Drosophila melanogaster: one gene and its partner. The protein of the gene in region 1 purifies or fractionates together with the protein of each later gene. This does not show direct contact. Each region holds a gene or a part of one and is shown on either strand. Other genes may lie near its edges.

Region 1 (3,754 bases):
TCAGTGTACCAATTAGTCTAAGACTGAATAAAAGCTATTATCGTAGTTGGCGTAAAACATTAAATTGCCATGATACCCTATAAAAGGGTATAAGAAGGCAAGAGAGACGCACTCAGTGGGGTTTTGCATTCCATTAAAAAAAAACCCTGGACGAGCCCCCTCTAGGCGAAGAAGAAGAAGAGCGGTCCAAGGGCATGAAGTAATTGCGGAGCGGGGTGCGAGGGGGAGGTAGAGGTTCCGTAGTACTATAATACTTTTGTGGTTACTATTCCCGATCTGGGGCCTTTGCAGCCGACTTATGATAGGTTGTGGCAGATGATCCACATCCGTCAGCAGAAAAAAATAACTAGTTGTGCTGCCCCAGACAATGCGGCCGCGCGCTTTCTTTGCGGTTTGCTGTTGCTATTGCCATTGCTTTTGATTGATGATTCATTGGGCGGCGGGGAGAAAAGCACACGCGGCACTCGGTCAATTGCGTCATCAATGCGGCAAGTTAATTTTACAAAAAACCACATGTGACGTCGCCGACGTCGCTTGTTTTGCATTGCGAAATTTCACTTTTCATTTGGGGCGGCCGGCGCAAGCGCTTTTCCGCCGACGAGACGCCCACCTGCACTTTTCCAATTATATAAGAACAGTCCTTGAAATTAAATGGGGAAAAACGTTGGAAAATACCAATCAAATGCCTGCTAAATGCACTTTTTAGAAAGGGGAACACGCGGCAGTGTCTCATTGATCGCTGAAACGATGATGGTAATTCCTGGAATTCCACATGATGCAAAAGCGGACCTCGAATGTGGGACAAGTGAAAAGCACGCGAAATGCGAGTTTTCCGCTGAATCCAGTACTAAGTCTAAATGGACCATAGCCCCGCAGACTTTTTGCAAATTAACGCACATGATTTGATTATTTTTACACTAAACTTGCTTAAAGTTTAAATATTTACGTTTTTACAGCCGAAAACTTTTGCGTTAGTGGTGGGACTGTTAATGCTAGCGCACGGCCTGGACTCTCAAACATATCGAAACGCTATCGTTTTGTGCCAGATATCGATTATTTTTACAGTTTTGGTGAGCGGTAACACTAGCATACAGAGCTTATTCCTATGCGACTGCAGATGGCGCCACTGTGGAAGATCATGAAAGGCGCGATGTAAAAAGTCTGTAAGTAATATGTAAAGAATTCAAAATTTTTCCGTAATCTACTTAAACCATTTGATACCTTTAATTTAATAATATAGGTTCAAGATATTATTATTATTATTATTATTTTATTATTATTATTTTTTTGTAACCACGATTGGGTTGACTTCTGCTTGACACTTTTCCATTTTGAATATCCGTGAAATCATATCAAGTTATTTAAGAAACATTGAAACGAAATTTTCAAAAGAAAAGCGAGAAACATATGTTTAGTAATTTCCAACAATGTTTGAAGCCACCTACATTGTTTTTCTCAGGAATAGTCGCAATAGTCGCGGCCTGACACAAAAACTGGAATTCAACTTGCACTAAACCATTTAATTGCTACGCACACTAGACAGAGACTAATATCTGCTGTATTGATCCAGACAGTAGCCGGTAATTTGGTCCGATATACAGTCAAAGACATTGTAAAATCCCAAATAAGAAGACTTTACTCGTTGAGTTTTTGTAAGAAAACTGATTTTATTTGGAAATATCTTCGGTTTAAATAGGTGACATGAGAATCGCATCTTAAAGTAAATGGCCTACGCAGAGGCCTACGTAAATAGTCCCCGCCTTATCGAGGTCCCACGCTCGGGCACATCTGCCTATCTTGAGCGGCGAGGACCTTATCTGTGGTCTCCCACTAAGGGACTATTTTAGGAGGCGGGGAACGATCTCAAGTGACTGACTCATGTAGTGTGCACTTAAATTACATGTTTTTGAGCAATGCACCCATGTCGCCTTAGATAACAAAATCCTAAATATAATTTATCGCTCTCGATTCATTTACATAAGATATGAACGGAGCCCAAAATTGTAAGTCTTTAAATATATTCGTGTTCATGTGTGAACATTCTGCCAAAGGGCCAGCAAAGCTGAGATGTACATTAGTATATTAGTTGCATTTATAACAGTAGTGGACTGTATTTATTTGATATATGTTCATTTATTTTGCAACTAAGATTTCAATGGGCCTAGTTTTTCTGGCTTTTAATTTTATTGGATTACAATTATGGTTTATATTATTTTTAATTCAACAATTTGTACTTAATTAACTTATTTTAAACATTTTGCTTTTTCTATGTAGAAGTACATTTTCTATTAGTGGACTGTATATTTTTATTTGTTATATTATTTTATTGTTTATTTACTATTGATATTTATAGTACTGGCAACGGACCTGCAAAGGTTATTGCTTGCATTCTTTGTTGCACAGCACATTTCCGTATGAAATATATTATTAATACTATCATTAGTATTAAAGCAATAATTAATCCAGCATGTCCGGAAATATGATGGAAATGTAAATCTTTCAATTTTTGATGGTTCTCTTTCATAAATTTAATTTCATTATTCAATCGTTCAAATTCCTCAGTATGATTTAATATTGATAGTTTCAGCGGATCCCAAATAATCTTCGGCACTCCACTAACTTCTCCTATATAAGGTGTTGATAATAATTCTTCACTTTCGGACTGAATGTTATGGTGGGCAACTAGAATTTTATCGTCGGTTCTTGCCGTACAATATGGCGCAATGCTTAAAACTCCTTGCTGAGGCAAATCAAACAATTCAATTTGAGAGCCAGTACATTGCAGACGGACTTTTGAATTCGCAGGAACCTTAAACAACCAACTACTTTTCTTTTCTAACTCTACCCAGTAACTTTTAGAGTCGACTACTGTTTTATAGATGCAGTTCGCCGCTTTATCTGGCTTTAGAGGCTGAATCTCACATGCATTATCATTCGCTGAATTCCAGGGCCAACTTCCTTTGCATATTCTCTTATTTAGTTGCCATTTCTGACATTGATTTAATGTGGCTTCCGTCATTATGTGATAGGAATCTATCTCAAAATTATAAATTAAATATTCGGACGTTGTATGCACCATTATTATCCGATCTTCATTTCGAATTGGCACCGGAATAAGCCTGAACAATTTGGATGGATGCCTGCTAAACAGAGGCACTTTTGCACTAATGATCAATTTATCGTCGATGAATAAACCCCTGGCTGTTAACAGTGTATACACCTCCTTAAGTTCCGTACCTGACCGTTTTCCTGGAATTACTAGGTTCTCTGAAAGACTCTGCTGAATTTTGGCAATTTCTTTTTTAAGCTGATTTGGCCTGAGAATATTTGTATTTAGCCTACCGTGATTAATATCAATCAACAGGCTTATAATGCCTGCTTGAATTTTTTCGCCTTCTTCAATCAATGAGTGTAGCTGTTTCGTAATCATAAAGAATTTTATTGATTCCTTATAAACATAATAATTTTCTTTAAGAACTTCTGTCATGTTCTCAATTCTTATTTGCATACTTCTAAAATTGGAGTTAACATCTTCTGTTGTTCTCTTTAATAGATTAGAAGTTGAATCAACCACAGATGTTTGTTTTTGAATTAGTTTATCAAGGTTGTTCTGGTTATCTAACAAATTCTTCATATTTTCTTCTAATTGCTCTCTATCATCTTCATCCATTATACCAAATAAAATATGATACAAGGAACCCATAAATTCGAAAGGAGCACGCTTGCTTCTAGATCTAGACTGCATCATAAACAA
Region 2 (3,754 bases), on another chromosome or scaffold:
CCAAGTGAACATTTCATTGCACTTCCACCGACCACACAGCTGCTGAGTACTCTGCCGAATTGTCCTGGTTCTGCTGGCATATGCGAAACGTATTCCACTCAAAGAGAATGCCTCGGAGTGATGGGCTGCGAATGGTGCCAGCTGGATGTGGACGGCAATAGTTTTTCGACCTCCTTCTGCTCGTCCCAGGCGAGCTGCTTCAACGGAGTACTTGCCTCGCTGACACCCTACGGTGAGCTGGACGAGATGGAACTGCTGGCCGCCCACAATCCGCAGAGAGAGCAGCACGCTTACTCTGCATTTGGTCCGCTAGGAGGAGCCATTGTGGTGCTTGTCATGGTGATTGGCTTTGCCATCTACTGCTACAGACACAATCTGGATGCGCAGACGCAGGAGCACTTCTATGTGGATTCGGTACAGGAAGAGAATTACGGCTTGCCGCTGTCCAGGTTCAACTTTGACGATTGCAAAGCGCATGACGAGCCGCCTCTTGGTGGCGGCTATGACCACGCATCTGCACAGCGGCAGCTGATGCACGCGGCGGATATTTCGCCCTACCACGTTTCCAGCGGCAGTAGCTATCGCCGGCCACCCAACGGTGAGTCGGATCATGGCTACAGCACAATGACGCCGCACGAGGACAGTTCCGATCAGCAGTGCTTCACGCTGGCGGAACCTTTGCTGCTGCACGACAAGCGGCACAGCAAGTCGGACACCATGTCCATATCCACATCCATATCGAGTCCCACGAATCGACAGCAGTCCTCCTCGCAGCCAAACACGCATCCCTACTTGAGCAATCAGCCGACCTCAAAGACGGAACGCTACAAGCAGGTGCAGGCCACGCCCTCGCCATGTCGCGGAACGCCAGCAGGTGGTAGTGTCTACGGGCAGACGACGTTGCCCCTCGAGGGGGATAAGACCCGGCCACACTATATCCTGGCACCAGTGACGGTGCACCGGCACATGGAAACTGCCGAATCGTAGTCCACAATAGCGTTGTTAAGTTTTAGAGCGTAAGATGTCCGCTTGTTTGCCAATTTAGTTATGTAAGTTTCCAAAATGGGCAGTTCAACTGCCGACAGTCCAGAATGCTGGGCCCGCATTCCAAACCCGCAATGTGTTTTGTGAGCTCGCGGTGGCCTCCATTGTTGGCCCATCTGTATCTATTAGAGCCTCCGTGGACGAGACGAACACCAACTATTAAGTGATGACATTGTTTCTGCCATTTTTGATCGATGTATTGTATTTGTATTGTATTGTATTTTACTGTAATTTATTGCAAAAAGTATTACTATATTATGTGCAGCTATATACTTCCGATATTTTTAGCATTTATTTGATAAGCACCAACAACAGAAATGTACTTACTTGTCTGATTGTAAGATACCATGTCGTATATCGTTTTTTGTAATAGCCCCTAAGACTACAGAGTTACTAACTACTGATTTTAGTAATACACATCTATAATAGCATTGTACGTTTCAAATAAAATGTTTAAATTTTGCAAAAAAAACCCACAAGATCTTAACCTTGATCCAGAGCGATCGGATGAATCGATTGGGCTGCCAATTGCTCGTCCTCCGATCAGCTGGTCGTACGTTAATGAAATTATTTTTACACCTATACATTTTATAAGCAAACCAGACGCTGCTCAATGGGCTCTTTTTTTGCTGTGGTGGCCAAGAATTGCCAATTTATAAATAACAATCTCTATTCGGGGGTTGTCAGGTGGCTTTTAGAGCAAAATTAGCTATGGATCTTTGGTGTAAGTTTTTACCCGATACCCAACCATTTCATAACCGTCATTAACCGATGTCATAAGGCTGAGATAGCCAACATATTCAATATCTTCAAAAAGAAAGTGTCTTTATACTGATTAGCTGTGCATTTGCTGTGTAAGTTCTTACCCGATACGCAACCGTTTCGAAACCGTTATCAACCGGTTGGCTTTGCACTCGGCTGGCAACCCTGAACCGAAGCTGCTAGCTCTCACTATACCATTGCAGCCACTGCATTTGGTTTTCTGGTCTGGCGCACGACGAACGTTGCTTTGGGTCCCCACATTTCAGCCCAACAACGACTCTATACTTCAACTATATCTAATCCCTATCTGCACTTCACCTCCTTCGATACCCCGCACTTTGAAGTGAGTGTTTAAGTTTGCTCGGTGTTTTGAAAACCGTTCTGTTTTCGAACATTTTCGAAATATACGCAAAGTGATACAATACGTACTCTGGGGAGAACATTACGCAATGCATAAAAAGTGTTTGGCGAATGAGAAAAAACAATAGTTATGTAAAAAATAATGCAAGTATACATTCTCAATTTCAATATAACTTGATAAAAAAAAGAAAGTTTATAAAAAAAGTTTTTTGATGAAGTGATTTCGGATTGAATATATTATTGCCAATGCTTATCATTTACTATTGCTAATTAATTTTTAAATTATAATGATACTAGAAAAACAGTTTTTAAATAATTGTATAATCTTTCAGGATTAAAGAACATAACTTCTATGTGCTCAAACGTTTTTGACAAAAGAAAGTACGAAATATTAATTTATAGATGTAAAAACAATTAAAATAGATTAAATGTATTTAGTGTAGGCGGTACCACTTGCAATTTAGTTTGTTACATCATGACCTTAACCTTAAACCCATTCGAAACCCTTGATCTCTGTTTTCAAAGGCACTTCTCTAAGGCATCATGTTTAAGTCCCTGTTCGATGCCGCGCAGAACTCAACGTTCAAGTCGCCATTCACTAGCGTCAACTGCCAGTCAGCCACGCCCACTTCCGCCCCCACATCCACCGCGGTGGTGACCCCCACCCTCAAGGATGTTGCTCCACGCCAGCTGACTCGAAACCACAACATCGCTGCCGCTGCCGTTGCCGAGGGTGGTAAGTGGGACAAGTCCTCCTGGAATCACCAATGAGTTGGATATATAAGTATTGTTAATACCTCTGCAGACTCCTGCGAATTCGGCTCGAACCACTACTTCCTGCTGTGCGGCCTGGGCGGCATCATCTCGTGCGGCTCCACACACACCATGGTGGTGCCCCTGGATTTGGTCAAGTGCCGCCTGCAGGTGGACCCGGCCAAGTACAAGAGCGTGTTCACCGGCTTCCGCATCAGCTTGGCTGAGGAGGGCGTCCGCGGATTGGCCAAGGGATGGGCACCCACCTTCATCGGCTACTCGATGCAGGGTCTGTGCAAGTTCGGCCTGTACGAGGTCTTCAAGAAGGTGTACGGCGATGCTATCGGCGAGGAGAACGCATTCCTCTACAGAACCGGACTCTATTTGGCTGCATCGGCATCCGCTGAGTTCTTCGCCGATATCGCCCTGGCGCCCATGGAGGCGGCCAAGGTCAAGATCCAGACCACGCCCGGATTCGCCAAGACATTGCGCGAGGCTCTGCCCAAGATGACCGCCCAGGAGGGCGTGACCGCCTTCTACAAGGGCCTGGTGCCATTGTGGATGCGCCAGATCCCATACACCATGATGAAGTTCGCCTGCTTCGAGCGGACGCTGGAGCTGCTGTACAAGTATGTGGTGCCCAAGCCACGTGCCGATTGCACCAAGGGTGAGCAGTTGGTGGTGACCTTCGCCGCCGGTTACATTGCCGGCGTGTTCTGCGCCATCGTCTCGCATCCGGCGGACACAGTGGTGTCCAAGCTGAACCAGGCCAAGGGTGCCTCCGCCCTGGACGTGGCCAAGCAGCTGGGTTGGTCTGGTAAGTGCTGACATTTGA

What was found. The genes of interacting proteins can lie anywhere in the genome.
Region 2: the proteins of Ogdh (region 1) and Mpcp1 purify together in Drosophila melanogaster (affinity purification with mass spectrometry, with the first as the bait; one large-scale study listed by BioGRID). This does not show direct contact.

Annotation. Positions count from the first base shown.
Region 1 is NT_037436.4:16,952,735-16,956,488, reverse strand, and holds the start of Ogdh (oxoglutarate dehydrogenase), read right to left. Parts: upstream 1,668-3,754; 5' UTR 1,610-1,667; coding exon of another isoform or gene 1,547-1,609; 5' UTR 1,446-1,546; intron 1,164-1,445; exon of another isoform or gene 1,162-1,163; 5' UTR 947-1,161; exon of another isoform or gene 898-946; intron 726-897; exon of another isoform or gene 676-725; intron 1-675.
Region 2 is NT_033778.4:20,279,383-20,283,136, reverse strand, and holds the start of Mpcp1 (mitochondrial phosphate carrier protein 1), read left to right. Parts: upstream 1-2,009; 5' UTR 2,010-2,149; intron 2,150-2,199; exon of another isoform or gene 2,200-2,293; intron 2,294-2,527; exon of another isoform or gene 2,528-2,547; intron 2,548-2,691; 5' UTR 2,692-2,709; coding exon 2,710-2,902; intron 2,903-2,971; coding exon 2,972-3,736; intron 3,737-3,754. Other genes in the region: CG16868 (uncharacterized protein), read left to right, coding at 1-987.